Caenorhabditis elegans: one gene and its partners. The protein of the gene in region 3 interacts with the protein of the main gene of each other region in a pairwise test. Each region holds a gene or a part of one and is shown on either strand. Other genes may lie near its edges.

Region 1 (7,781 bases), on a different chromosome or scaffold from region 3:
GGGGTGAATATCATAAGTGAGGATTAAGTCAAAATGCACTGACCAACACGACCCATTATAATTTTAAAAAAAACACTCCAAAAATGTTTAGAGTAGGGCTCCCAGCTGAGCGAGGCGCGAAATGGGGGCCTCACGCCGACGCCGTGCGCCGCTGTGTGTGTGCAATAAAGCGCGACAGGTATTTGTTAGGAGCGGCCGACACGTTCGGGGTGCCGCAGCTTGGCGTGAAACGAGAAGCTTGATGTGTGCGCAACGTAGTGCAAAAAAGAGTTATTTGGAAGCGGCCGGGGTTCCGCGTCGCACTATACATTTGGATACAGGCGACGTGAGTGACGCCGTGAGGCCGGCGCGGCGATCTTATGGCAACCTTGTTTGAAGCAGTAAAACTGAAAAAAAATTGAGAAGTTGCACCCTTTTGTCTTCAAATAAAAATCTCATCAAATGCTTCAATCTGTTTCTCATTAAATTACCTAACTATTCAGAAGTTGCTCTACATGGAGACTACTATAACCTCCATCAGTCAAGACTGGAAATCCAAAATCAAGTTTGAAGGGGACACAGCTCTACACATTTTGGAATCGAACAAGTTTTGCCAACGACTTAATTCAAATACATACAGATGCATGGCAAATGACCGATGTGTTTTTGTTACATTCTGCCACCAGGGCGTCAAAATTGCATCACGGCGCTAATAATTCTCATACAGCGCTTTATGGGACTCAGTTTCTATCAACATTTTTCCAGACTTTAATTCACCTTCTCTAACTTTTAAATTATGCGATTATTTCGTATTTTTGAAGCATTTTTTGGTTGTTTTGCTCTTTTGAATTATTTGAAATTTAGTCTTGCTCATTTTCAACTGCAAAACCAATAGTCTCTATGCTCTTCAAAAGTTTTGCACTGTGTTGCAATAATATATTGGAAAGCCATTGTTTCTTTATTTATAGAAGGAGGATTTTTGCAAAACTCAGAAACCAGAATGTAGTTTAATCTTAATCGCAAAAAAATTTAGTTAAATGTTTTTATTTTGAATTCAAAAATAATGAATAACACAGATTCGCTGAAAACTCTTTTGATTTTTTTAAACTATAAAATTTTTCATAACTTTTTTATTTTTGAATGGCTTTACACTAATTGAGAATTTATCATTTTTCGTTTCTGGTTATTTTCCAACCATCTAGTCAAAAAGTATTGGAAAACGCAGAATTTTCCACAAAAAAAACTATTGTGATGTTTGGAAGCAGGGTGCCAGAAAACCTATTATCCTAAGCTTTTCTGAGTTTATCATAAAATTTAAAACACCCGACTAATAACTCAAAAAAAAAGCTGCGCGTGTGTGCTATAAGACCCCTGAAAAACCGTAAAAAATGCAAAAAAAAACAAAAAACTCACTAATATATTTTGACAACAAACATTTTAATTTCAAACGAAAAAATCCTCTCCCCGATCTCAATCTTATCGACCTGAATAATTCGTACTCCTTCAATTGATTTTTTGATCAAGCTACTCCATTCACTACACTCCTTTCCTGAGAAGTCAATTATTGCAAATTCGACTTTAATTGTTTCACAAATATTTATCCAACCACTCTTCATCAACTCTACCCAATCTGAAAGAATTGTTGTTTGTCATTCGATTATTTATCTTTACAAATTCCAATAAATCAGAGAGAAAAACATTTATTATTCATTAAAAAACATCTATAAACAAAAAAGGCGTTTATTTTTTAGAATTGCCTTTGCAACAACATAAGGTCATAGATAACACAATTCCAAGGAGTTGAACAATGCAAAGAACCACACAAACTCCTACTATCAAGCTCAATGAGCTGCTCACGCTTTCGTACACGGCATCGGCGCATCCCTGTAAAAGTTTTGAACTTGATTGTATTTATTTGAAAGTTAGATTAACAAAACTAATTAATAAATCACTGAATATTTACATTGTTTTTATCAATATATTTTTGAAAATCTCACCCGTGTATTGATAAATTGAGCATAAGTGTTGAGCGGAGCTTGGCTGAATGATCTTCCACAGTTATTTGGGTAGGAAAGCTTTCCATGCTCATTACAGCAAGATGATGGGACTCGACCTGAAATATTGTGATTTTTTCGTAAAGTTAGCTAGCTACAAAATTTATATACTTTTTCGAATGTCTATGAAATCATTGTATGTAGGAAAACTTTTAAGATTATCTTACTCAGCTTTTTGCGTTTATTACCACGTCACATTCCCCTCTTTCAACTCACCATATCCAGTGCCTTTGTTCCCGCCGAACGCGCCAATTCCGTGCTCAATTCTGCCAGCATCTTCTTCGTTCACTTCTAATTGAGTGGATGGCTCGGCGTCCCATCTTGCGCTAAGCCAGTCCGTGTATGTTTTCACACCACAGCATTCGAACTGAAATGAGAGAAGGATTTTGGAATTGCAAAAATGAAGTTTATGGTTTTAAAAAAAGCATTGTAAATTTACTGGTCTGCTAAATACGAAAACAAAAGAAAAAATCTACAACTAAAAAGTTAAGCCTATCGCTTCAATTATTGAGTTTGGAAAAAAAAAATTTTGTTTTGAATTTTCCTATTTAGACATAAAATATGGAGAGCTTCTTTGGTGCATCGTGAATCTCAAAAGACTTGAAATTTTCTGCATAAGCTTGAACTAGGCTAAGTTGTGGTAATAACCATTCGCAGTCTGTTGGAATTTTAAAAAAATTGAAACAGAACAAATGGCAAACAACGCAAGTTTAAAATTCTATGCAAATGTTTGCTTAACTTTTTTCATGTAGACTTTTTTAAAAATTGGTTTACAATTTGAATTAATTCGAATAAATGATGCAGCGAAGGAATTCTAGTAAACTATTTGTCCACGCCAATTTAAGTTTAAAATTTTTCCTGCTGAGACTTATTTGGTCTAAAAAGCCGTTTCAGTCCACTATGAACCTTACTTTCTCTTGAACCGTGTCAAATGCATCTTTGAAAGCCGTCTCCGACGAGTAGCGATTTCTGATAGTGTCGTACATACTGCTCTCCACATAGTGTTTGATGTGTTCTTGTTTGTGGAAAAGTGTGACAGCAGCTGCGAGTTCGAGGAAAAACGCGAGGATCAATATGCAGCAGAACTGAAGAAAACAACACGTTTTTATGCATCTCATGTTGAGGAGATAAATGAGGTATTCACTGACAAATGAAATATAAGATGATGCCATCCCCCCTCCCCCCCCCCCTCCTCCCCATCACGGGGTGCAAAAATAGGAACAACTCACGAATGCGAGTGCACATTGATTCATTTTCCATGCACCGATGCATCCAAAGTATCCAACCAGAATGATAATTGCTCCGGCTCCAACAAGAAACCAGCCTACATACCGGAAGGCACCTGGAAAGATAATTTACGTTAGAGGGGGGGGGGGGGGAGGGTGAAGAAGATAAATGGAAAAAACCTGGATGTGTGGAGTGAAGAGCAAAGAAGTCAGATGCAGCTGGGTCGAATAAGAGCCATATTCCAAGACCGAATACGACAACTCCTGATAACTGAAAAAAAAAAACCATTAACTCGAAATTGTGCCAGTGCGAAACAAAATGATTAAAATGATGGCTTAAAAAATGGAAAATTAAAAAAATTTTTCAATTTTTGAATCAAAAAAATCTCCTAGTTTGATGTGGAAATGCAGCTATAAACATTTTTATGTCACTAATTTGTCATGTATTCTAGGTTCGTAAAAATAACATTAGGCTTTAGAAGGTTTGCAAGGATTCGAAAAAAAATTTACAAAAATAAAACAATATAAAACACTACTAAAGTCAAAAAAATATGTTTTAATTAAAGGATTACAGGACGATCCGTTTTACGAGTGATATTCACTGCTGATCTGGAATTCAGGTACGCTGCCTGATGGTGATCCCACTGGGCTATAATTTAAGCCACGTCCTAGCCGGGGACTGTGGCCGATAGCCCAGTCATGGATTGCTTCACTTCTCACTGGAAATTGGGTGAACCTAGAAGGTGAGGCCGAGCTTGAACTCGTGACCTCCAGATTGCTAGCGGCCACCACTACCGACTGAGCTATCCTGCCCCTGCCCCGCCCCTTAAATACAATTAAAGCAATATTTTCACGAACTTAAGAGTAGGTTTTTCTTGAAACCTTTTTTTCAAAATTTGGTGCTTAGATATGTAGTCTGTTGCCAAACCCGAAAAATTGATTACAGCACATTTTTATGTATAGCACTTTAGGCTTAAAACACTATAACTAATAACTAGCAAAAATATTTTGAATTCTACATGAAACGTTTTAACTGTTTGAAATGTACAGCTCTGGTTACTAAATGAGCAATAACATTTTTAGTTGGTTTTGAAAAAAAAACTTAGTTTTTAAGATCAACCTAAAAGATTTCGAAAAAAAAACCAAAACTCACCCAGAACGCAAAGTTAAATAAAAAAGTTACAATACGTAGCGCATTCACGCAGGACCCCATTTTTTTCTGCTCCGAATGTTGATTGGGAAACAGAAGGAAAGCATGTGTGGGCGTGCCATTTGTCTGACAGGAGAGAAGAAATACTGACGATTGTGTTGCTGCTGCTGCTGCGGCTCCTTGGCTCAAGCTCTGATCATTTTGAAGATACTCTCTACTTCTCTTTCTTCTTCTACCCTTTCTCCTTGTTTCTTCAATCTTTCAATCCTTCAATTCCTGAACGACTGAATTCACCCTGGTTGAGTGAAGTAAGGGGTTTTTATACAAAGTTTTACGGATGTCAACATGGAAAGGAGGACTAGAAGGAGAAGACATTGAGAGATAACAATTGAAGGGTTCACAAAACTATTCATGAATTCTAAACATTTCGGTGGTTTGACAAACGGAAATTTTTAACTCTTCTCATGCTGTTTTTGCTATACATCTTTAAAGTGTTTTTCTCACAACTCGGGGGAACACTATGGGAAATGGCAGTGGGCGAGAAATAAGTGTTTTCGGCTTTCAAAAGACGAATGTGCTAGTCACGTCCTACCAAATTTGTTTACAAACTATTTTTGAAAAAGAAAATCAAATTGTTGCTTCAGAAAAAACATCTGTTTCAGATTTGGTAGTGGAAAAAAAAGATATACATTTTCATACATGGTTCTTATTTATCCAAAGTGGGTAACTGCACTTTTTGACCTTTGTACCTTTTGACCGAAAAATACCCTAATACCCAGAAAGTACAATAAAATATGGTATTTAAATGAAAAATAACATTCAGTTTGCAAATTTTGTTTCCTTTATCTTGAATACTTTCAACCACGGTAAACCGATTTTCAAATTTTTTTTTTTGGAAAATTGTGTGTTCAAAATTGGTCTTTTGATATCATTTCAGGGTTTAGAGGGAACAATACAATTCATTTTTGAACTTGAGAAAAACTGTGAGCAGACGGGCAAAATAACTTAAAACAATTAATTTAGATTTAAATCTTCATAAGTATTTTAAAAATCGGAAGAAAACTTTTTTCACAACTACGAGACAATAAACATTGAGGAACGTACTTTTTTTCTGAATTGAATAAATCATAAAAAGTATGCTCATAAATGTTTTTGTTTTTTTTTAAATAAAATGAACAACGACAAACTACATTGATATACAATTTGATATAGTCACACAGTTTGAAAGTAATGGCAAATTTGAAAGTAATGGGCATACAAAGAACAAAAGACAAAGAAAATTAGAACAAACTTCATTTCTATTCAGGTCTAAATTGTTTTCAATGCATTTTTGCGCCAAGATCAAGCTTCGTAATACTGATTCAATTGTGATTTTTTGCAGAATGTTGTTGGCTTTTAACCTGTTTAGTAAGATACAAAGATCCTATAATCTTTTCAAAATTTTTTGTGAACAAAATATTAACCGAACTCGATCGAAAAACTTTGAGCTTAAAAAACACATTTTCTAACTGGCAGAATGGAGGATTTTTAGTCATTAAAATCTGCAAATAAAAACAAAAATTTTACCAGTTTCGAAAGGCTTAAAACAAAAAAGAAAAATTTCAGATCGGAGTTCAAGAGAGACCAGGGCTTGAATGTGATTCAACTGTTTCATACTCAGCAACTGTAATAAAACATGTTTGGAACACTTATGCAACACTTGAATTCTTAAAAACATATTAAGATACAGTTGATTTAAATACTATGATTTTACTATCAAAGTACTATGAAAGAACTATGAATTTACTATGAAACTCAGATACACTGCCTGCTGGTGATCCCACTGAGTTATAATTTTAGCCACGTCCTAGCCGGGGACTGTGGCCGATAGTCCAGTCATGGATTGCTCCACCTCCCAATAGAGGCTGGGTGAACCTAGGGGGTGAGACCGGGCTTGAACTCGTGACCTCCAGATTACTAGCGGCCACCACTACCGACTGAGTCCTGTTTAAATTTTCAGCCACTTGCTCTAACTACCTCGATTGTCAAAATGATGGCTACATCAACCCAAATGACTGTAACAACTGCAAATGTCCACCTGGTTTTGGTGGGCAACTTTGTGATGTTTGTGATGTTAGGAATCATTATTCAATCAAACTTGCAAAAATGAGAATAGCTTCCTTAATGTATACGTAGTGCCCCTGAGAACTTCTTTACGTAAAGTATAGTTGAACGGCTCCAACAATAGTAGATCCTGTCTGATTGGTAAAGCGGATTTGCGCTAGCTCTGTACATAATTTAACGTATAGTACATCCGTCTTCGCTAGATGATCGAAGTTATATATTGTTTTACTCAAGTCAATCAGTGTTAATCCCGTCCGCTGATTTGTTAGTAGTCTTCTCAGTTTTGTTTACTGACAGAAAAGAAAGTAATCACAATCCTTGAGCTATGACTCTCTAGATCAGGTTTCCGATTTGGTTACTTCAACTGACCAATGCAATTTTTATTAAATTTCGAACCATTTTTTCTGCGTTTATGACATGTGTGCATCTTCATTTCACAAATTTACAAATTCTCAATCAACAAAAACCCCTGTCGGGTGGGGTGTCAATGCCAATTTATTAAGATTTATCCGTGATATCTTGCTCCCCGGGCAGAAGATTTCTGTTTTCTTACACAACTTTCCGCCCACAAGCATGGAAGACGATTATTACACTGGTGTCATTCCCGAGGCAACCCCTCAATAGAACAGATGTGTTTTGTGAGTATCCCATCTCACTCATCTGAAACTTTTTACTCTTTTCGAATGACGTTTGCATGATTCTTGTCAGATTTTCAAATCTTGGACGAGCAGTTTCAGATATTTGTGTTTTTTTTTTTCGTTTTTTACACGATAATCAGCAGATTTAATACTATTAATATCTAAATTTCAGAAGAAAATGGAACGAACAGAAGCCTTCAACAAAGCTAGAGCACAAGCAGAAGCAGGAACACTTGACGATGCTTTTCAAACAATAGAACAATACACCGCAGAAGATGGTATCGAATATTCACTTTCTGAAATGCAAACCGTTAATATTATTGTTTGTGAAAAATTAACTAGGTACGAAAAGAAATCTTAACTTAAATTTATAAGGTTTTACATTTCAGTTGCTCATTTGAAGAAAAGAAAGATGCCTGCCTAGCGTGCTTGCCGTTGCTAGAAGGCTGTAAATTAGTGTAAGTTAAAATTAAAGTTTTGACGAGAGGCAGAATTATGTCTGTTTTTAGACAAATTTTTTTATTATGTATGTCATATTTTATATGTCATATTTGTCATATGTCATAATTGAGCTAAAAATAAATAGGTTTAAGTGTGTTTTGGAAAGCACGCGTGCAGGCGAAGGTAATTT
Region 2 (6,312 bases), on a different chromosome or scaffold from region 3:
CGGCAAATTTGTAATTTGCCGGAAATGAATATATCCGTCAAATGGGCAAGTTGCCGGAAAAAAACACCCAGTCCTGCATTACACTATCACGGTGCATCGAGTAAATTTTTCCAGAACACCACCGACGTCTCCAAGACATGCCCACCAAAGCAATGTGCTAATCCGCAAACCGACGAGCTGAAGCATCTCTGCAATACAAGTTACACCTGGGATATTTTCGCAGACTATGATATTTTTAAGGTTAGGATTTTGGTGTTTTTTTGAGTTCTGCTGTACAAATTTATCAAGAAGCCTATTTGATTTATAAATTAAATACGCAACAGTTTCTAGAAACATGTCAGATTAATGAACTTCAAATTCCAGGTTGACCGATACGGAAACTTCGTCCAACGCCTCACCGACTCCCCAGGTTACGACGCTGAAGGTGTAGTCTCGCCGGATGGAACCAAAATCGCATTCACCTCTATCCGATCTGGAGACCTCGAGCTCTACATAATGGATATCGATGGGAAGAACTTGATTCAAATCACCAATGAACTTGGCTATGATGGAGGATCCTTCTTCACTCCTGATGGAAAACGGTTGATCTTCCGTGCCAGCCGTCCAAAGAATGAAACTGAAATCGCAAAGTATAAGAAGCTTCTGTCGTACAATCTAGTGGAGCCAATTGCCATGGAGCTCTTCATAGTTGACATCGATGGACAGAACTTACGGAAGATCACGAATCTCGGAGAAGCCAACTGGGCTCCGTATATGTTGAATGACAATAAGCGGATCATTTTCAGCAGTAACTATGATACCGCTGCAAATGGATTTGGAGCCTTCAGTTTATACATGGTGAACGACGACGGGACAGGCCTTCAGCAAATCACATTCGGACAGAATCAATTCAACTCGTTCGCCATGCAGAGTTACGACGGGAAGAAGCTGGTTTGGGGGTCGAGTAGAAATGGTACGATGTATGAGTTGAACTTGTTCATCGCCGATTGGATCGACTATCCGAGTAATACAACGGTTGCTCCGGCTGCTCCAACAGTGACAACAACTACGCCAGGAAGTAAGTGAACCATATTTTTGAGATGCATGCGTATATTTTACTGGTCTTGCAACGAATGTTGCATCACTTGTAGTTTCTAGTTTGTAGTTTGTAGTTTATAGTTTATAGTATGCATAATGTAGTTCGTAGCTTTAAATTGTATATTTGCAAACTGTAGTGTGTACATAGTATATCATAGTATATCAATTATACGCAATCGACTTTTATAGATACTACTATGCATGTATTCAGTTTATAAAATTGGTATTGTAGTTTGTAGTTTCTATATTGTAGTTTGTAGTATTTTTAGTGTAGTTTGTAACATAGCTGTATATCTTCTATCACATAAATATGTGCTACTTGAATTGCAGTTTCAGCTTAATTTTTGAATAATGAATTGACTCGTCCATTGAAATACATTAGAAATTTTATAGCTTGTAGTTGATATATTGTAGTTTGTGGTTTATACTGTTATAGCACCATCAACGGCTGCTCCGGCTGCTCCAACAGTGACAACAACTACGCCAGGAAGTAAGTGAACCATATTTTTGAGATGCATGCGTATATTTTACTGGGCTTGCAACGAATGTTGCATCACTTTTAGTTCTAGTTTGTAGTTTGTAGTTTATAGTATGCATTATGTAGTTTCTAGCTTTAAAAATTTGCAAACTATAGTATATACATTGTACGTAGTATATAAATTGCAGTTTTACGCATTTGACTTTTTTTTTTAATACTACCATGCATTGGTAGTTGGTATTGTAGTTTGTAGCCTCGAGATTGTAGTTTATAGTATTTGTAGTGTAGTTTGTAGTATGTGTAGTTTGTAGCATAACTGTATATCCTATCAAAAAAGCATGTGCTAGTTGAATTGTAGTAATTGTTGTATTCTAGCGTAATGTTTGAATAATGCTTTGCAATGCATTTACATTAGTACTTACGTTGCAATTATAGTTTGTAGTTATAGTTTGTAGTTTGTAGTCTGCATAATATAACTTGTATGTTCTAGCAACAACGTCACCATCCGCACACCTATCACTCCTGTCAATGTTCTCACTTCTTCTAATTGCATGCCTCTACTAATCTGATTCCGTACTTTTTTGGTAATTTTCCAGTAACACCTGAAATTTACTAGACTCTTTTTATTTCAGAATGGTGGTGGTCTCGAGGAGGATAATTTTTTTTTTGTTGGTTTTTTATCGATTTTCTTATGTATTTTTATGAATAAAACTGAAAAAAAATGGTTGTATGCGAAAACGACTTAAACTCACAAAAAATGTATTGTAAAAATGTAAAATGATCTCGTATAAACAGAAAATATGGGCGAAAATTCAAATAAACACACAAATAAATTAGTTGAGCACCTCTCGTGCGTTCAAAACTCCGAGCATAGTTCCCTTATTGTACTGCACAATGTTATCGGCGATTTCCGATGCGACACGGAGCTGCGCGTCAATCGTTGATGCTCCGAGATGTGGTGTCGCAATGACGAGTGGATGATCGATGAGCTCTCTGAACGTTGGTGGTTCTTGCTCAAACACGTCGAATGCTGCTCCCTTGGCGTGTCCAGCGTTCAGGGATTCCACCAGGTCGACCTCGTTCACAATTCCTCCACGCGCCACGTTGATGATACGGACTCCTTTTTTGCATTTCGCGAGGGCTGGAAAATGATTAGATAAATAAATTTTGGATTAAATAAAATACTTTTAAAAATGCTTAACTTACTCTCTTTATTGATCAAATTCTCAGTCTGCTTGATCAGCGGTACGTGGACCGTAATATAATCGGCCTGTGGCCAAATCTGCTCCAACGAGAGCAGCTCAATGTTCTTCGCCTCAGCCTGCTCCTTCGTGACCATTGGATCAAATCCAATAACCTTCATTCCAAAGGCCTGAAGCCTGACGGCCACCTCAGATCCAATTCGTCCGAGGCCGAGAACGGCTAGGGTGCGTCCGTAGACCTCCTCTCCCATGAAATCCTTGCGGGCCCATTTGCCGGCCTTCATCGATGCGGCGGCTTGTGGAACGTGGCGGGAGAGGGAGAGAATGAGTGTGCACGTGAGCTCGGCGGCAGAACGGGAGTTGGCTTCTGGAAAAATAAAATTTGAAATATAAACCGGTAAAGTTCTGTTGAAAAATTCTGTTAAAGCCATCCATTTTTTAGAATAGGCCCGTCCTTCGCCTAGGTCGGCCTGTTTTTGAAGTCATGCGTTTACACGTAGTGTCAGGCTGTCCCATTACGGTTTGATCTACAAAAAATGCGGGAATTTTTTGCCCAAAGCGAAATCAGTTGAGAACTCTGCGTCACTTCTTCCTCATTTTTTGTAGATCTACGTAGATCAAACCGAAATGAGACACGTGCGTTTGGGGAATTCCCCAGCCATGTGACTTTAGAACTTTCAAACCTAAACCCCATTCGTCAAATAACCCTCCCAACTCACGTGGTGTATTCATCACGAGAATCTTGTTCGCCGATGCGGCTGGCACATCGATATTGTCAACTCCAGTCCCGGCTCTTCCAACAAGCTTCAGCTTCCCAGCTGATGCAGCCAACAGCTCGGCGGTGATCTTCGTGGCGCTGCGAACAATGACGGCGTCGTGCTGTGGCAAGGTGACGAGAAGCTCGTCCTTCGTCTGCTTCGTCTTCACGGTCACCTCGATTCCGTTCTGCTTCAGAATGTCGACACACTCCTGCTCGATGTCGTCGGCGATGAGGACTTTGTTGATTGGGGCGCTCATTCTGGAAATTGGGAGTATAGTTTTGGAATAGTAATTTGAAAAGAGAATATACAGTTTTAAACTAAAAAAAAATAAAAGAAAAATCTTTAAAAAACGCAAAATAATTGTTCTTATATACCCTCTAATGTCACGCAAAGTGACGTAATCTCAGACGCTACCCCGCCCCTTTCCAGGTCAATTATAGATTGTAAAAGTCACGTAGACAATGACTATATTCATCGATCTTGCCGAGATAAGGTGAAAACAAAGATTTACAGCGTCGATATAAATATATCGATTATGGTATTAGGAAGAGTCACCACAAAAAGACTGCATGAACAACACGATATTTATGGGCTGATGCTGCTGATGGTGGAGGCTAGATAGCAAGTTTTGACTGGCCGGGGGTGGAGGAGGAAAAAACGAAGAACAGGAAACGTCGTTGAGGTCAAAATGGCGGTTATCAGTTATGGTCAGTCGACGTCAGAGAACACACACACAATGGGGTAGATGGGAGTAAAGTATCTAGATGGGGAAAGTTTGAAAAACGGGAAAAAATGTTGTATTTTTGGCATTTTGTCGACTTGGCAGGAATTTAAGTTCATGTAAAACTGGCAAATTGTCAATATTGAAATTTTTGCCGAATTTGCAAACTACAAAAAAAATATAGAAAATTCATGCCAAATTGGGAAAAATGAAAATTATTGCCAAAAAAAGGAAATTCTTGCCAATTTACCAAAATGAAAATTCTTGCCAAACTGACAAATTGCCAAAAAAGGAAATTTTTTCCAAATTGGCAAATTGGCAAAAAATGTTAAATTCTCGCCAAATTGGCAAATTGCCAAAAAAAAGGAAATTCTTGCCAATTTGCCAAAAAAGGAAATTCTCGCCAAATTGGCAAATTGCAAAAAAATTTTAAATTCTCGCCAAATTGGCAAATTGCCAAAAAAAAGGAAATTCTTGCCAATTTGCCAAAAAAGGAAATTCTCGCCAAATTGGCAAATTGCAAAAAAAATTTAAATTCTCGCCAAATTGGCAAATTGCCAAAAAATTTGCCAATTTGGCAAGAGTTTTATATTTTGATCATATTACCAAATTGGCAAAAAATGTAGTTTTTGGCAAATTGGCAATAATTTCCTTTTTGGCATAGTGCCAATTTGGCAATTAGGTAAGCTTTTTTTTGCAATCTGCAAATTTGTCAAGAATTTTAATTTTCGCCATTTTGCCGGATTGGCGGAAATGTAATTTTTGGCAAGAATTTCTTTTTTCTGGCAAATTGGCAATTATTCATTATTTGAAATTGCCAATTTGGCTAGGATTTTCATTTTTTGGCAATCTGCCAATTTGGTGGAATCTAGAATTTTTGCCATATTACCAAATTGACGGACTTTCCATTTTTGGCATTGTGCCAAGTTGATAAGAATTTCCTTTTTTTTGCACTTTGCCAATTAGGCAAGAATTTGAATTTTTGGCAATTCGCCAATTTGGCGAGAATTTTAATTTTTGGCCATCTGCCAATTTGGCATGAGGTATAAATTTTGACAAGTTGCCAATTTGGGATAAGTTTTATTTTGGGAGTTGGGCAATTAGAGGAGAATTTCAATTTTTGGCAATTTTCTAATTTGGCAAAAAATTTTCAACAGCGTTTTATGGGCAAAAACAATTAAAACTGAATTTTTAGAAAGTTAAAATAATTCCAACAACAATAATTCTTGTTAATTAAATTTTTCGGTTGTGACAACGTCATCACAAAACATTCTAAACCAATTTAAAGATATTGAGTCCTAAGAAGCTAAAACTTCAAAAATAAATTATATTTTCAGCATAGTTACACCGAAAACACACCGAAAAGAAGAGAGAAAATGCGTTTATGGTCAGCGAGCGGCAAGAGACAAAAAACGAACGTAGAAGGAGAAGATGGGCAACACACAAAAATGTGACACATTTAGAGAGAGAGAGAGAGATAGAGAGAAAAACAAAAGACGCGAGCGGAATACACAAAAATGGGTGCAAAACGGGTGTATGAATAAATAATGGGCAAATATTGGAACAAAACGGAGGGTTTTGTCGGGAATAAAAGGAATATTTCAATAGCTCATAGTTAAAAATTTCAAGATTTTCACAAAAATGAATGTCAAACTTTAAAATTAGTATGGGACTTATTACTGTTGTGATTTTTGATGAGATGAGTTCAATTCTACCAAAAGGACACAATTTTCATTTTTGGTTTTCAGTACAGATAAATTATTATTTTTGAAACATTTCACTAAATCCGGGCCTTCATATTTCACTCAAAATTAACATTTTTCAGAATGTTTTTACAGAAACTTGTTTCAAATTTTGAGCTCTTTTTTAATTATATAACGAAATTCAGCTTTTTTTTGTTGCTATAATGCTATTTTTCTAGGTAGGGCACTTTTTTGCTCAATATGATTATAACCAATGTGCAAGAATTTCCAAAAATATTTAAAATGGTAGCATTTTGAAAAAAAATACTTTTTTGGGGCTTTTGAAATGTATATCGTAGAAACAGAGACGGTCATACATTTGTCTAAAAGA
Region 3 (10,317 bases):
ATGTAATTTCTCAAATTCAGATGGTAAAATTGATACAAAAATTCCACTTTTTTTTGTGTGGAAAATTCATAAGATTTTAGTGAATTTTTAGACAAAAAGGGGGAAATTTCAGGATTTTAGGCACTTTTTGAGAAATTTTTTGAAAATTTCTGTGAGGGAAAATTTGAACAATATTTTGTAGTGTGTTATAAGATAAAAATAGAAAAAAAAATTCGCTATTTTCAAATTTTTAAAGGTTTTTTAAAAAGAATTTTTTTCAAAATGTTAAAATGGAAAAATCAAAAATAATTATTCTTCATCAGAATCCGAATTCTCAGCCGGCGCTGGTTCTGGAGCATTCTTCAGGAGCTCCAACACATGGCTGACTTCGCGAATTTTTCCGTCATCTCCAATGGTTCCGGGCTTCACAATTCCTGCAAAAAAAAAAATGAATGGGGAAATTAGAGAATTTCGGGGAGAATTTTTGATAAATTACGATAAATTTCCAAATTTTTGGATATTTTTTCAAACTTTTTAAGCTAAAAAATCATAAAATTTTCGGTATTTTTCGGAATTTTTAAGGTAAAATTTTTTTTTCTCAATTTTTACTTGAAAAATGCTCCAAATTATGAATTTTTCCGCCAATTTTTGAGATTTTCTCAGAAAATAAGAATATTCATTTTTCGAGGTTATTTTCGAATTTTACCAATTTTCGAGTTTTTTTTCATATGTTTATTCGATATTTTTCCAATTTTACACCAAAAAATTAGAATTTTCTGCAAAATATCGTCACGATTTTGATGAATTTCATCAAATTTCGTGCAATTTTTTATATTTTTTTGGGGGGATTTCACCAATTGTTTTCCAGATTTTTCTGCTGCAAAAAACCTGAATTTTATGTCAAATTTCATCAAATTTTCGCGCAATTTTCTCCGAATTTCTCACCAGTTTCCATCATTTGATTCATAGCATCAACCAGCTTCATCGCTTCATACTCTTTTTGCTCTTCAGACATTCCGGCAAGTGCACTTCCGTGATCCGATGGATAAATTGCTCCGGTCACTGGATTTACACTGAAAATCTCTTTTTTTCCATGGATTTTATGCACAAAAAGTATAGCATACCTATCCTTAATCTGATTATAATCCTCAGTTTCACTATCCTCACTGTCCGACGCGTGTTTTGGTTGATTGATTTGTCCGAGAAGACCCAAATTTGCGAGGTGACCGGCCGAGTGGCCGAATCCAAGGTATTTGATCATTCGATTCACTGGAAAAAGGGAATTTTTTAAAGATAAACCCTCACAAATTTTCCAAAACTGACGTTTTTGAAGGCGGAGTACCGAAATCTGGGAAATATTTTGAATTGGCTCAAAATTTTCCCTTGATTGTTGTGGAATGGGGAGCCATTCCACAATGTCTCGTCCTACGATCTCTTCAGAGATCTCTCAGACGAGGTTTCTATGACAAAGAGCCGCAGAAGTCATTCTTTCTTCTGCGTCTCTCGCTCTCATACGCTCTCTCACAAGAGTCACACTCGCGCCCCACAGCGACATTAGCTGCGCGACGACTCAAGCGACGACAGGATACGCAGCCATTGGACGCCACCACTTCAGTCTTGATGCTGCGCTCGTGCCGAACGGTCGTGCGTGGCACTTCTCTCCCGACGCATCCCCCATTTTCCTTTGTAATTGCCCCTCACTATTATTCATGTACTTGCTCCGATATCCAAGGAGAACCCGACAATCTCTGATAACCAAAGAGAACCCGACAAACTCCAATAACCAAGGAGTTTCCAGGCCTTCCCCCTACTTTATCCTCTCTCCCTCTTGTATTGTAATTCTTATAATTACTATATAAATTAATATATTTATACATTTGTTCTGTCACTAGCTCTATATTCAAGTCTCCTCGGGAGCAAGACCACCGCATTCATCCGCACTGCCACAGCGCTCCTTCCAGACTATACATACTCTTTCTTCGGTCTCGAGTCACTCTTCGTTACGGCTTAAAGGCTCGGTCGCCGCCTCCGGGTGCCACAACATTGATTCCGAATATCTTTGTGAAAAAATTCAAAAAAAAAATTTCCCTGATTTTATATTTCAAGCTTGATTGAAATCACGAATTTTGTGGCGCCAGAGACGCCTTGTGTCGATTTACGAGATTTGTGTATATTTACGAAATATTTGCTTAGGTTGCACTCCTTGACGGAAAATCCATCCAAATTGAAGCTTTTTCCGACTGAAAACCGAACATTTTGCAAATTTTTTTATACCTTAATAGACCTTAAAAATAGCCGAAAATCAGGGAAACTCGTAGAAAAAAGGGGGAAGTCAGCATCTGATAAAGATTAAACATTTCGTAAATATACACAATTCTCGTAAATCGACACACAAGGCGTCTTTGGCGCCACAAAATTCGCAGGGATTTTTTTTCTGAATTTTTCACATAGATATTATTGGAATCAGGGGAATATTTGAAGTCATTCGAAATTTTTTCCAGATTTCTGTACTCTAACTTAAAAAAAAAACTTTGAATTAAGTTAATTTCGTACCTGATCTCTTGCAAATAATGAAAAGGAACTCGGCGGCGACATCTTTCGTTGACGACGGAAGCATCATAATTCTAGCGATTCGGCCACGTAGTGTATTGTTCTCCTCCGGCCGTTTTTGCACTTCTTCTGATACCAGTGGGGGAATTACCTGCAAAAATTCGAAAATTTTGAATTTTTTTTTGAAGCTTTCAAAAACGACATTTTCATATAATTTTTTAATAATTTTACTAGTGTATTTTGTGAAAAAAAAATTTTTTAATCAGAACATGAATAAATTTTTCTATATACCTTTTTAATTGACTCCAAATTTGCTCTCTGATTCCGAATATCTAAGTGAAAAAATTCAAAAAAATTTCCTTGATTTTATATTAGAGCCTAAAATCGCGCAGTTCATTTGTGCACCCATGAACTTTTTTCAAATTCGCGCCGAAATAAATTATCCTTGGAGCGCGTTTGTCTCAATTAATTTCAAAACGCGCTCCGGGGATAATTTTTTTCGGCGCGAATTTGAAAAAAGTTCATGGGTGCACAAATGAAATGCGCGATTTGAAGCCCAAATAGAAAATCAGGGAATTTTTTTTGAATTTTTTCACATCGAAATTCGGAATCAGGGAAAAATTTGGAGTCAATTAAAAATATTTCCCGGATTTCGGTACCCCATCTTTAATAATTTTACTGATGTATTTTGTGAAAAATGTTTTTTTAAATCAGATCATTTTTTTTTCATAGAGGCGGAAGATTTTTTTTTAAATTTTTTATAAAATGTCTTGAATTTTTTTCAAATTTTCAAAATTTCCCTATCAACACTGCAACTTTTTCCTCACGAGGGACGAGGAAAAGTGGTTTCTAGGCCATGGCCGAGGGGCCGACAAGTTTCAGCGGCCATTTATCTTGCTTTGTTTTCCGCCTGTTTTCTTTTGTTTTTCACAGCTTTTTCCCGTTTTTTCTTATTAAAACTGAAAATAAATATTTTTTGCAGATGCTAAAACAATTTCCAAGTGAAAAAATTTATGTATTCAGTGGGCAAGCAGCGGTGAAAGTGGGCATTGTAATATGATGGATTACGGGAATACAAAACCTAAACTTTTTCTGAAACATAATACATATGCTGCTTAAATGCTGAGACTACCTGATTTTCATAACGAGACCGCTGAAAAAGTTTTGAGGTTTCCAAAATTCAACTTTTTTGGTGAAAAAGTCGAGATTTTCGCACATCCGCTACTTGCCCACTGAATACATAATTTTTTTACTTGGAAATTGTTTTAGCATCTGCAAAAAATATTTATTTATCAGTTTTCTTAAGAAAAAAACGAAAAAAATCAGTGAAAAACGAAAGAAAACAGGCGGAAAACAAAGCAAGATAAATGGCCGCTGAAACTTGTCGGCCCCTCGGCCATGGCCTAGAAACCACTTTTCCTCGTCCCTCGTGAGGAAAAAGTTGCAGTGAAATTTTCAAAATTTCCCTATCAAGTGTTTTTTTTTTCACGAACCCGAATTCTACAATATCTGCGAACATATTTACTATCCGTACAAAGCCTAGCGAGAACTTGAAAATATGGTCCAACAAGATCTGTAAGTGTTGAAGCTTCTGCCGACAACATTGGATTCTGCTGCTGATTTGGAGCATCATTGAGCAGTAGAGCAACGACTTTTGTTAGTTGCTTATCCAAATGCATGAGAATTGCCTCGGTGAGCTGCATATTGCTAAGTTCCTCAACAAAGAATTTCTCCTCCTCGTTTTCTCCTCCGTTATTTTTTGAATTTTTTCCACAAAGTACTGAGAGGACCATTGGTAGTGGTGGAACTGATAAGCAATGAATTGCAGATTGAACGACGTCATCGGTGAGCACATCGGAGCAAATTGCGTCACGAAGGATTTGGCACGTTTTTGCCGCGTTTTTCTGAAAAAAAAAACTTTTTTTCGTCGTAATTTGTAGCAAAACTTTGACATTTTTTATGGAATTTTTGATACTTTTGGGGTTAAAAATTTGAAAAATAAATGAATTTTTTCAGAAATGTGCTTTAAAAAAATTTTAAAAAATTCTGACATTCCTAGATAATTTTACAAAATTTACCGCAATTTAGAAGAATTTTCACGAGAATTTAAAGCTGAAAAAAAACGAAAATTCAGAAAAAATGCGAAAAAAGCGAAAAAAAAAGAAATTTTTTTTTCGCAAATTTTTAATTTATTTTTTATTTTTTGGGCCAATTTCAGGAAGTTTCTCAGAATTTTTCTGCTCAATTCAAAAAAAATATGATATATAATTATATATTAAATTAATTTGTTTTTTTGGAAAATAAAAATAGAGTGATATTTCATGATTTAAAAAAAATGAAAATAAAACGAAAATCGATGATTTTTATCTTTTTTTTAATCTAAAAAAACCTCAAAAATCTCAAAAAATTGCATTTTTTATGACGATTTCTATAGAAAATCGTCATTTTTGGATTTTTGATATTTTTCAATGAAAATTCCTGAAAAACCGGAAAATTTCACCGATTAATCGTACGAAAATTGGAAGTTTTTATATGAATTTTTTTTTTTAATTTGGAATTTCAAGTTAAAAACTCGAATTTTTGTAGTTTAAAAAAAAAAAGTTTTAAAAAATTCAAAAAATCGCATTTTTAAGGTATAAATTTTGGTATTTCAGTTTTTTTTTTTTTTTTGAATTTTTACATGATCAATAGCCTTCACATCTCCGTGAAAATGGCAAAAAACGTTGAAAAACGTCTTCAACGCCTCGGTAGCTCGATTTATATCCTGAGTGCTGTTTTCTGATCGATTTGTGCAAATTTCGACGGCCAAAAGCAGAGAATCAATGGTTTTTGGGTCGTTGGCCCAGTTTTTCTGCAAAAAAAAAATTAGTTTTTCACAAAAAAACTAAAAATTTTCATGAATATTCGCAGATTTTCTCATAAAAATTGAAATAAAAAAATTTATTTTTTGTAAAAATTGATTAAAAACCTATAATTTTTATGTTTTCCAAAATTTTTTGTAAAAAAAAATCTGAAATAATAAAAAAAATTTCGAACCGCGACGCGACCGCAACGCGCGGTCCACAGTTTTTAAAAACTAAATTTGCCGATAAAAATCACACAAAAATCGGTTTTTTCAGGCAGAAAATTCAAATTTTTTCTGAGAAATCTGAATTTATTGAACCGCGACGCAACCGCAACGCGTGGCATCGCTCAAAACTCGAAAAATATGTGTATTTCCAGTAAAAAACGCTCGATTTTTCTGCCGATTTTACACGAGTTTTCTCCAAAATTCGGGTCATTTTTGTGTCAAAAAATTCAAATTTTTCGTGTCGTTTCGAGCACCTGAAATTCCCTGCCCAATGCAGTTGCAATAAAAGCGATCCGATGATAGAAATACCAAATTTCGGCGGCTTGAACCGGATTCAGAAGGCGAATCCAATCGATTGACGACGTTTTTCGGCGGTTTTCCTCGAATTCTCCGAGGAAAAATTGCAAATTTTCACCAGTTTTCGGGTTTGCACTGCAAAAATCGTGTTTTTTTTCTAATTTTTAGCTAATTTTCTTAGAAATTCAATTAAAAATCAGATTTTATAGATTTTTTTCTAATTTTTTTTTCGGAAAATAACCTTTTTTTCCACTTTTAAAGGATTTTTTACACTTTCCTATGCAAAAAATCACTTTAAAATCGATTTTTCAATTGAAAACTCACTAAAATCGATCTCTCATTCGTTGTGAGTGAAACAAAGTGTTGATTAGACATTTTTGCGCCTCCATTAGTGCTGAAATTATGATTTTTGGCGGGAAATTCGAGAATTTTTAGGCTCAAAATTGCCTTACTGTGGACAGTTTTCGAGTTATTTTCGTTTGACGAGAGTTCCGCGAAGGCGAGGATTTTATCGCAGAGCGGGTCGTTCAGGAGGCCCTGGAAATTGGGAAAATTGGGGTTTTTTAGTTTTTTAGCTGAAAAATCCGAATTTTCAGTTCAAAATTGCGTAGTATTTCCCTACCTCCAATCCATCTTTTTCCCTACTCAAAATCTTTATCGTCTCCAGCAGCACGTGGGTCAGCTCTCCGTTTTCTATAACCTCACAAATCCGGTCTCCGAGCTCCTGAAAACTGGAAATTTATTGCAAAAACTAATTAATTAAAATCTCTCACATTCTTTGCCGAGTTCGCCATATCGAATTTTGAGACAGCGGCGTTCGCGAAATTCCATTTCGAGAAGAATTCCTCGATTTTGGCAGGCTTCCCGCCGAAAATCGACGCAATCAGGTCGGAATGTAGTTCTTCAGACATGGAATTGCCTGAAAATCATGAAAAATTAATTATTTACGAGAAAAAATGCAATTTCAGGATCGAACAATTCAAAAAATCGCGAATTTTTGTGATGCTAAACAGCACGCGCATGCGGGATTTCGGAGCATCGTTAAAAATTGTTTTAAAAAAAGCGAAAAATTACTTTTTTTCCGAGGTTTTTAATGATTTTTTTTACGGTTTTTGTTGAAAAATAACAGAATTTTAACTGGTTTTCGGAAAAATTTCAGATTTTACTCTCTCCAATCGTATTTATGGCAGAATCAAAGAAACGAGGAGAAAAATAGTGAAAATTCGATTTTTTTTTTTTCACTAGCTTATTCTGAAAAAAAAACCCTTATTATTTGCATCGAAACACCATTTTTGGTCATTTTGAAGTGATTTTTCATTGAAGTAATTGCGAAAAATAATGAAAATCAACAATTTCGATCAAAATTTTGCAATTTTTTCGATTTTTCCCTCGAATCTCTCGAAAATAATGCGATTTTGATTGAAAAAATTAAAAATTCAATGAATATGACATCTGCTTCTCTGAACAAAAGCTAGCGACGCCCATCACCATGGAAACTCGCTGCTAGGTAATCCCTTGTGGCGGCAATCACCGTGGGAACGAGCAGGCATTAAAGAAAAATTGTGCTTCGGCTTATTATTGTGTTAAAATTTATTTTTTTAGGCGGAAAAACAGCAAAAATTCACAAAAAAAATTCGAAAAACCGCCATTTTTTGAGCAATGATAAACAACATGCACGTGCGGAACATCGGAGCATCGTTGTGTTTTTTTCGTTTTTCAACGACTTGTTACTAGATAATTAAGCATGGAAACAGCCATGAAATCAATAAAATTAAAAAATCTATGTAAAAACTCATATTTATACGAAAAATCTACACAAAAAAAATGATAAAATCCACCGAAAACTCTATTTTTCACACAGAAAATGTCGAAAAAAGATTAAGCTCGAACTTTCGGAAGAACGTCGGCCTTCTTGTAGGACGGCTGAACGACACGATCCTTGTTCATGGTGATTTCGGCGTGAGCGTACGAGTATTTGTCGAATTTCAGGTATTCGTCGCATTTGTACAGTGACCAATCGGGTTTTCCGCCTGAAAATTGAGAGATTTTGCGTGGAAATTGGATGGAAATTGGGAAAAACTTGTCTGAAATTCGATTTTTTTTCTAGAAAAATGCACATTTTTCCAGAAAATTAGACTTTTCATAGTTTTTTTTTCTGACAAAAATCGATATTCTGCTCATTTTTAATGTTTAATCAGAATATTTTCGGCTAAAATCGATTTTAACAAGAAAAATGGCGAAAAATCGACATTTTTTGCAGAAACTAGCTTTTTTCAATGAAATTGTAACTAAAAATTTAGCTATTCACAAGTTCTAATGCAAAAAATCAAATATTTCAGTGATTTTACGGGAAACATCGAATTTTCGTGCCATTTCCGCAAAAATTCAACTTTTTCAGCTATTTTTAAGGAATTTTTTGGCTTAAACTTTTTCAATACAATATTATGACGGATTATTATCTAGTTTAGAGTTTCAGAAAGCCATACCAGCGACCTGTCTGGCCTTCTCTGCGTGCTCGATTCCGGTGCTCGTTTTTGGAGCCGCCGACGCCATCCGACGAGCCGAAATAACCATCAAGCGGTTCATTTCTGAAAAAAAAAACTTATTTATCAATTATTTTACCAAAAAATCAATGAAAAAACTGAAAGAAACAATGAAAATCGATGATTTTCGAGATTTTTAATTAATTTCTTTTCCGAGTCGCGAGAAAAATCGATATGTGCCTTGGACGCTTGCTGGCGCGTTTCGTGATGTTTATTGGCGCGTTTCTCGTGCAATTGTTTCGGCGGGAGAATTCGAATCTTAAACTGTTTGCGGCGCGTTTTCGGTCATTTTTCTTCGATTTTTAATCAGTTTTTATCGTTATTTTGCAGGGAATTCATCAGAAATGACGGATGTAAAGACACAAAACGCGATTTCCCTCAAAGGATCTGCCCAACTCGTCAAAGAGTTCTTCCGTACGGTTTTCCCCTGCAAAAATTCGCGATTTTATCGTTTTTTATTTCAGATTTCGGCCTTAACAGCATTCTCTATCAACGTGCGCTTTATCCATCAGACAGTTTCAAGCGTGAGAAGAAGTACGGGCTCACACTGTGGGTGGCTCATGAGAAGAAGCTCCAAGCGTTCATGGATCCACTTTTGCAGCAAGTTGAATGTAATTTTTTTGCGGCGGCGGGGGAAATTCGAATTTCAGCGTTAAAATCATCTGAAGTTTGCAGATTGGCTCGCGAAAAGACAGCTGAAACGGTTGGTGATGGTGATTTCCGAGGTGAAGACGAAGGAAGTCGTGGAAAGATGGCAATTCGATATTCATACAGAGAATTTGGCCGAGGAAGGGTACGAAATCGTTTGAAAACTGGCTCAAAGCTGCAAAATCCGGCGTCAAGCTCAATTTTTTCCGCTAAAACTGGGGAATTTGGCTGAAAAAATCTTCAGAATGGTCATTTTTCCTGTTGAAATTGTTGAAATTGGCCAAGTTTTGCGATTAAAATCTCCTAATTATTGGCGCGTTTTTGAAGTTTTTTAACTGAATTGTCTCAATTTTTAGGTTACTCTCAGCTTTTCCGGAGCAATAAATTGATTTTTTCTTGAGAATTTCTTTAAAAATTGGAAATTTACCGATAGAAGTTACAAATTTTCGCACGTTTTGATTAATTTTCAGCATTTTTTTCGGATTTTTTTGTTTCAAAATTCTCACTGAAACCCACTAATTGCATCACAAACCCCCTCAAAAAGGTGTGATATGTATACATTTCTCATTGTCTCATAATCCCTTTCAACAACAAAAACCTCTTGACTCTCAAGTGCTCCGGCAACCGCCCTATGATGACGCAATAGACATTATACCAAGAGGAGAGTCTTCAGAAGCATAACAGGTGTGCTCAGCCGGAAGCAGAGAGGTCAAGGAGATGCTTAATTTGCAAAAAACTGAAAAAAAAAGCGAAAAAAAAATCGATAAATCGATAAATCCCTGGCCCCCACCGGCATGTCTATGCACTCGCGCCCTCAGTTTTTGGATCCTATGTGGTCTAGTGGTTAGGATTCGTGGTTTTCACCCACGCGGCCCGGTTTCGATTCCCGGCATGGGAAGTTTCTTTTTGTAAGGGCAATTTCAGGGTTTCAGGGCCAATTTTCAACTTTTCTAAGGTCAAATTTCGTAATTTTCATAAATTTTTAGACCTAAATTCCCAATTTTTGCAGAGAAAACGCGCACCGCGTCAAGGAGGAGAAGAAGATTCGGCAGGAGATTAGCGATGTGATTCGGTACGGCTTTCAAAAAGGACAAAAAGAAGAAAAGAACCCCCGAAAATTTGAGAAATTTGATTAGAAATAACCAAAATACAAATTTGTGGCGTCAGGTGGTGTGATGGTGCTCTTATTGGTTGGGAGAATACCATATCTAGGCGACAGACGTGTTTTAT
Region 4 (5,542 bases), about 12 Mb from region 3:
GAGCTCTTGTATACATGAGATAATTCAAAAATTTAATTTGACAGAGAACAAGTGCGAAACTAATGAATAAAATTGAATGTAGTTAAAGAAACAAGTTGAAACAGTATTTTTTCGGAATTTTTCTGTATCAAAATTCAAATATTTTTAAAGCATCCTAAAAAAAAAAAGATCAGAATTAATTTTAATTTTTATGAAGAAAAAATATGAATTTTTTGAAACGGTAAATTTTTTCTTTGAGTTTTTTTTTCAAAATTTCTCCACAGCAGTACTAAGCCTCCGTCTACGCTTCTGGCCTTAACAAATAAGCCTATTCCTTTCATATTTTCTTCCAAACACCCATAACCATACAAATATATAAATATTCCCTATTCAGAATGCCCCTATCACCACTTTACAATACGAAATGACCGTCTCTTCCCCGTCTCCTTCAATTCCTGGTCCACTACCCAAAGCTGAAAGGGCTTTAGCGTGGTCTGTCTGGATATTTCACTCGCTTTTTGCATTTGTAATAGCATATTGGGTCTCGAATGGAAAAGCAAAGGGATGGATTAAACATTGGATGCAGGATAGTTGGTGGGTTTTTGAAAAAAGTTTTGAAAAAAAATTACAGTTTCTTGGAAAAAGATATATAATTTGGAAAAGTTTATGGAATATTGACTCGGTGAAAACATAACGAAATCTATGAAAATTCATATAAAAACCTGCAGTTTTTGGCAAAAAAGGGTCCTGGCACGAGAGAAAGTTTTTGCAGCTACAGTACCCCTGGGTTTCGTCGTCGAAAATTTCAATTTATCTGTTTTTTCAGGAAAAATCGCTAATTAACAATTTTTAATTCAAAAAATATCGAGATAAAATGTAAAGTTTCGGGAAAAATTGAGAAATGACCGAAAAAATGTTCGAAAATTTCGATTTTTTACGAAATTTCGAGAAAAAAAAAATCGAAAATCGGACTCTTTTTTGTTGTTTTTTTCTACAATTCCAATTTTTATCTAGTTTGTGCTTCGAAAACTGGGAAAATTAATGAAAAAACTACAGTACCCACAGGTACGGTAGCTGGAAAGTTTCGATCGTGTCGAGACCATTTTGGCACTGTGGCCTAGCGAAAACTCGGCCACCGTTTTAAAAACAATTTAAATTTGCAATTTCAGCTATGTCTCCGGTGCAAAAATGGATTTATCCGATGCGGAATGGGCTTATTATCGGCAAACCGTGTGGCATCTTCTTCTCGATTATTCGGCCCATAGCTTAGGGTTTGTTTGAACGAAGAATATTATAGAAACGTGGAAAAATGAGACATTTTGCCATATCTTGGGTCTCGCCACGACTGTTTTCTCTATTTCTATGCAAAAGCGGCTCGACACGAGCTACAGTAACGATACAGATTTACTCAGGTGGGTCTCGGCGCGCACAAAAAAGTTTATGGTAGTTTTTATCGATTTTTGTAGTTTTTTTTCATTTTTCTTCAAAAATGTCGACTTTCCCGCTTATCGGCCGGCAAAAATGATAGAAAACTGATTTAAAGCCATTTTAGTGGAAAAATCTACTATAAACCTACTTGCGCGCCGAGACCCATCTGAATAATGCCGTGCGCCTTTAAAAAGCTTCAAATTCCAGAATATTCATCTCAAAACGATTTCTTCCATGTTCCACGATCTCAAATTATGCCTTTATCGCCATCGGTTTCTTGCTCCAAATTCACATGAGCAGGTTTATATTCTAAAAATCTCTGAAAATTCATTCAAATTCCCCAAAAATTTCCAGTTTCCAATGCATTTTCGTCCTCTACTCATTCTCGGTGCTCGTCATCGTTGCCACGTGGCTCACAGGCGGCTCCAAATGGACTCCGTGGCTCCTGTGCATCGTCTTCATCGTCCGAGCCACACAAATCGTCCCATTCTCGTCTGGAACTCACATTTTCTATCGAGAATTCAACATTTATCTGTACGGATCTATTAAAATACTCAATTTGGCCCTTTTTCTATGCGATCTGAAACCTGGAAAATCAGATTTTTCAAAGATTATGGCAGATAGCCTGATCTATTTCTCCTATCTCCCCTACTCCATGACACTTATTGTACGATTTGAGGATTTTATTCAGCAATTCGAGACGTGGCAAAAGACAACTGAAATTTGCTGGAATTCTGTGAAATGTGCACTTTGGTTTGGTTTTCGACTGGTTTTTTGGTTTGGATTTATCGAATTGATTTTGCATTTTATACATGTTCAGGCACTTTTCAATTCACCAGATTCCCTAGTTAATAGTCTAAATTCTTATGAAGGTTTGTTCAGAAAAACCTTTTTTTTTCCTCAATTTTTTTTAAGTTTCAGTTTCTGCAATTGCCTACGTGGCTGGCCAACTATTCCATGTGAAATACGTGGTCATTTTCGGAGTTCCTGCATTTTTCGCGGCTCTGGATGGTTTTCGACCTCCGCCACCACCTATCTGCATTTCCAGAGTGTCGCTTTATTCCAGAATGTGGAGATTTTTCGATAATGGACTCTATCAATTCTTAAAGTATCAGGTCTATATCCCAGCTATGCGAAAACCGTTGCCTCTATTTTGGTCCATTTTGAGAAGTCTTGGGGCTCTGTGTGCAGTTTTTGGTGTTGTTCTAGCTTGGCATGGAACTCGAAGGCACTTCATCTTTTGGGTAACATTATCAGCAACCGAATTGATAGTAGAGCGGATAGGATGGCAAATTTGGAAAATTCCCAAGGTTCAGCGAATCAGGAAACGTCTCGGGGAACACTGCTGCAGAAGAATTATGGCAACACTCATGCTTCTCACTGTAACACCAGGAATTTTCGGAGTTTTCTTCTTTCTTGGACAGGAAGGTGTTGGCGAGACGATATCTCAAAACGTGGTCGTGCAAGGAGTATTAGATGTATTTTCAATTAATATAAGTATTTTCCCATTAACTGCCGGGTTTGCATTTCTGCATATTTTGACTCTGGGTTATTTCTTTAATAATGTTTGCCTCGATCTTGAATTCTACCAAAAACACAAGAAAATGGTTTAAAACTTGTATTGTTTGACAAATAAAGAAATTATTTTTGAAAGTAACATTTATTTTCGGGATACTAGCAACAAAAAATAACATAACATCCCGTAAACAATCAGACTTATCCTCCCTTCTTCTTGGACACTCCGACGGTGCGTCCCTTGCGTCCGGTGGTCTTGGTGTGCTGTCCTCTGACGCGAAGTCCCCAGTAATGTCTGAGTCCTCTGTGGAGACGGATCTTCTTCATGCGCTCAAGATCCTCACGGAGCTTGTTGTCGACGGCGGTGGAGAGGAGCTGAAAACATATGTCTATAAGAATTATAGTCAAAATTTGCTACTCTCAAAATAATTAAACTGGGTGGCCTGTATACAGATTTAAAAAAAAAACAGGCCTAATTTTCACTCCAGTTGTATAATTTTAAGTGATTTTTTTTAGACGAAACAACTAACCTGTCCAGTCTTTCCGTCCTTGATGTCCTTTTGTCTGTTAAGGAACCAATTTGGGATTTTGTATTGAGATGGGTTTTGCATGATGGTGACAATCTTGTCGAAGTCCTCCTCAGTGAGCTCTCCGGCGCGCTTGTTGACATCAACGTCAGCTTTGCGGCAGCAGACGAAGGCGAAACGACGACCAACTCCCTGAAAACGATAAAAATTAAAAATATCAAACATTTAAAAAACAAACCTTGATGGCGGTCAAGGCGTATGGAACCTTGCGGTTACCATCGATGTTGGTGTTCATCACACGATGAATGTGCTGGAATTTCTCCGGAATGATCAACGACATCTTGTCGTGATTTTATGACCCTGAAAAATAAAAAATTTAGTGAGATGCACGAGTGAAAAGCGCGGATATTCAAAAAAAATAAAAAATTTGCGACGAAAAATTACCAAAAAACATTATTATTAAGCACTTTCAGCTGAATAATAAGTTAAAATTGACCTGTAAATGCCTAAAAAATGATACAATATTCACAAAACTAGTAAATTCGATAATTTTCAAATATTAAAATTCGAGTTTCGGCATGTTTTCAGCGAATTTGTCGAGTAACAAAGCTTTGAATGTTTAAAAATCGATAAAACAAATTATCCTGAATTTTTCAAAAACAAATTTTGAAGAAAAATCGCGAAAATTGGTAAAGTTTCAACGGAAAAAGCCAAAAAAATTTAGGGAAAAGAAATAAATTCCGAAGAGAGACGAAAGGAGAGAGGACGAGCGGTGCGAAACCCAGCCGCGAAACTGCACGCGCCTTTGAATCGTCTCGAGACCTTGCAGTCCGAATTAAAGTTTTTCGTGATTTCTGACAGATTTCGGTGAATTAAATTAATATTTTTGCTGAAATTGAGTAGAGGGATTTTTTTCACATCGAAAAAGTGGTAAAACTTTACAAAAATCGCTGAAAATAGCAATAAAAACTGCAAAAACACTGTCCCGCTCTGCCAGTTCGAAGGTACGGTAACACTCGTTTTGCGTGTGTCCACTATCGGCACTGTCGGCGTGTGCGGTGCCCACGACAGCAGATTCTGTCTCTCCCCCGTCTATCTTCTCTCCATTTATATTATCCGAAAGGCAACACTCCTTGTGTCTCTCTGTGTTCACTTCTTCCAGTGTGCTGAGAAGATCAACGTACCATCATGGGAAGTAAGTATTCTTTTTTATTTGTTTCAACTAAAAAGTAATCTAGACATTCAGAATTTATCGTAACGCGTAGCTGCTTTATTTGAAAATTCTCAATTTAAAAATTCCTCCAATCAAACTGAATGCCCTTTTCTTGCGAATTTTCTAGTGTGCGATTTGCTACGTGGAAGAATTTCCTCTATTTTTCATAAATTTTAAGGAGAACACCGCATTTTCTGCAATGTAACTTTAAAATTCTTCTCACATTGCCTTACTACGGATTTTGTTTCATTTTTAAATGTAGAATTTCTTGAATTTTGTCTAAATCGGAGAGAAACAGGTGCGAGTCGATAATTTTGCAGTCCGGCGGGCGGCAAACAAAGGTGTGGTGCACCCGAGAGGATTATCGATTTTTGTAGTTCGCCATCCTAATTAATATTGTTTTTTTCAGTTAAATTCCTTGAATTCGTGAAGCCATTCTGCGGCTTCGTGCCGGAGGTGTCGAAGCCGGAGCGTAAGATCCAGTTCCGTGAGAAGATGCTCTGGACGGCCATCACCCTCTTCGTGTTCCTCGTATGTTGCCAAATCCCACTCTTCGGAATCATGTCCACCGACTCGGCCGATCCATTCTACTGGCTTCGTGTTATTATGGCTTCCAACCGTGGTACTCTTATGGAGCTCGGAATCTCGCCAATCGTCACTTCTGGACTTATCATGCAACTTCTCGCCGGAGCCAAGATCATCGAAGTCGGAGACACACCAAAGGACCGTGCTCTTTTCAACGGAGCCCAGAAATGTAAGCCGAAAAGTGTGTGTTTTCAATCTCTAATTTTTGAACTTTTCAGTGTTCGGTATGGTCATCACTGTTGGACAAGCTATTGTCTACGTCATGTCCGGACTCTACGGAGAGCCATCGGAAATC

What was found.
Region 1: the proteins of ric-8 (region 3) and tsp-8 interact in a two-hybrid assay, tested with the Caenorhabditis elegans proteins (one large-scale study listed by BioGRID).
Region 2: the proteins of ric-8 (region 3) and phdh-1 interact in a two-hybrid assay, tested with the Caenorhabditis elegans proteins (one large-scale study listed by BioGRID).
Region 4: the proteins of ric-8 (region 3) and rps-18 interact in a two-hybrid assay, tested with the Caenorhabditis elegans proteins (one large-scale study listed by BioGRID).

The regions. Positions count from the first base shown.
Region 1 is NC_003284.9:14,724,963-14,732,743, forward strand, and holds tsp-8 (Tetraspanin), read right to left. Parts: upstream 4,542-7,781; 5' UTR 4,473-4,541; coding exon 4,413-4,472; intron 3,531-4,412; coding exon 3,440-3,530; intron 3,376-3,439; coding exon 3,263-3,375; intron 3,119-3,262; coding exon 2,945-3,118; intron 2,401-2,944; coding exon 2,250-2,400; intron 2,093-2,249; coding exon 1,977-2,092; intron 1,864-1,976; coding exon 1,720-1,863; 3' UTR 1,664-1,719; downstream 1-1,663. Other genes in the region: F33C8.2 (DUF38 domain-containing protein), read left to right, coding at 483-692; F33C8.4 (DUF7758 domain-containing protein), read left to right, coding at 7,329-7,492, 7,540-7,608.
Region 2 is NC_003280.10:13,634,706-13,641,017, forward strand, and holds phdh-1 (D-3-phosphoglycerate dehydrogenase), read right to left. Parts: upstream 3,776-6,312; 5' UTR 3,775-3,775; coding exon 3,477-3,774; intron 3,125-3,476; coding exon 2,762-3,124; intron 2,697-2,761; coding exon 2,389-2,696; 3' UTR 2,214-2,388; coding exon of another isoform or gene 2,188-2,213; 3' UTR 2,164-2,187; downstream 1-2,163. Other genes in the region: tag-10 (Protein TolB), read left to right, coding at 115-240, 364-1,057, 1,514-1,567, 2,046-2,119.
Region 3 is NC_003282.8:2,639,477-2,649,793, reverse strand, and holds the start of ric-8 (Chaperone ric-8), read right to left. Parts: upstream 6,816-10,317; 5' UTR 6,808-6,815; coding exon 6,670-6,807; intron 6,621-6,669; coding exon 6,519-6,620; intron 6,434-6,518; coding exon 6,349-6,433; coding exon of another isoform or gene 6,291-6,348; coding exon 6,221-6,290; intron 6,032-6,220; coding exon 5,854-6,031; coding exon of another isoform or gene 5,827-5,853; intron 5,381-5,826; coding exon 5,210-5,380; intron 4,434-5,209; coding exon 4,023-4,433; intron 2,681-4,022; coding exon 2,533-2,680; intron 1,249-2,532; coding exon 1,104-1,248; intron 1,053-1,103; coding exon 925-1,052; intron 414-924; coding exon 289-413; 3' UTR 1-288. Other genes in the region: nduv-3 (NADH dehydrogenase [ubiquinone] flavoprotein 3, mitochondrial), read right to left, coding at 7,775-7,926, 8,383-8,482; mdf-2 (Mitotic spindle assembly checkpoint protein MAD2A), read left to right, coding at 8,784-8,853, 8,904-9,050, 9,115-9,232, 10,097-10,159. UniProt on the Caenorhabditis elegans protein: Chaperone that specifically binds and folds some, but not all, nascent G alpha proteins prior to G protein heterotrimer formation, promoting their stability and activity.
Region 4 is NC_003282.8:14,823,946-14,829,487, reverse strand, and holds rps-18 (Small ribosomal subunit protein uS13), read right to left. Parts: upstream 3,810-5,542; 5' UTR 3,790-3,809; coding exon 3,688-3,789; intron 3,642-3,687; coding exon 3,453-3,641; intron 3,298-3,452; coding exon 3,124-3,297; 3' UTR 3,069-3,123; downstream 1-3,068. Other genes in the region: hhat-2 (Homolog of Hedgehog AcylTransferase), read left to right, coding at 404-573, 1,149-1,250, 1,615-1,707, 1,762-2,279, 2,329-3,020; sec-61.A (Translocon Sec61/SecY plug domain-containing protein), read left to right, coding at 4,638-4,644, 5,072-5,416, 5,466-5,542.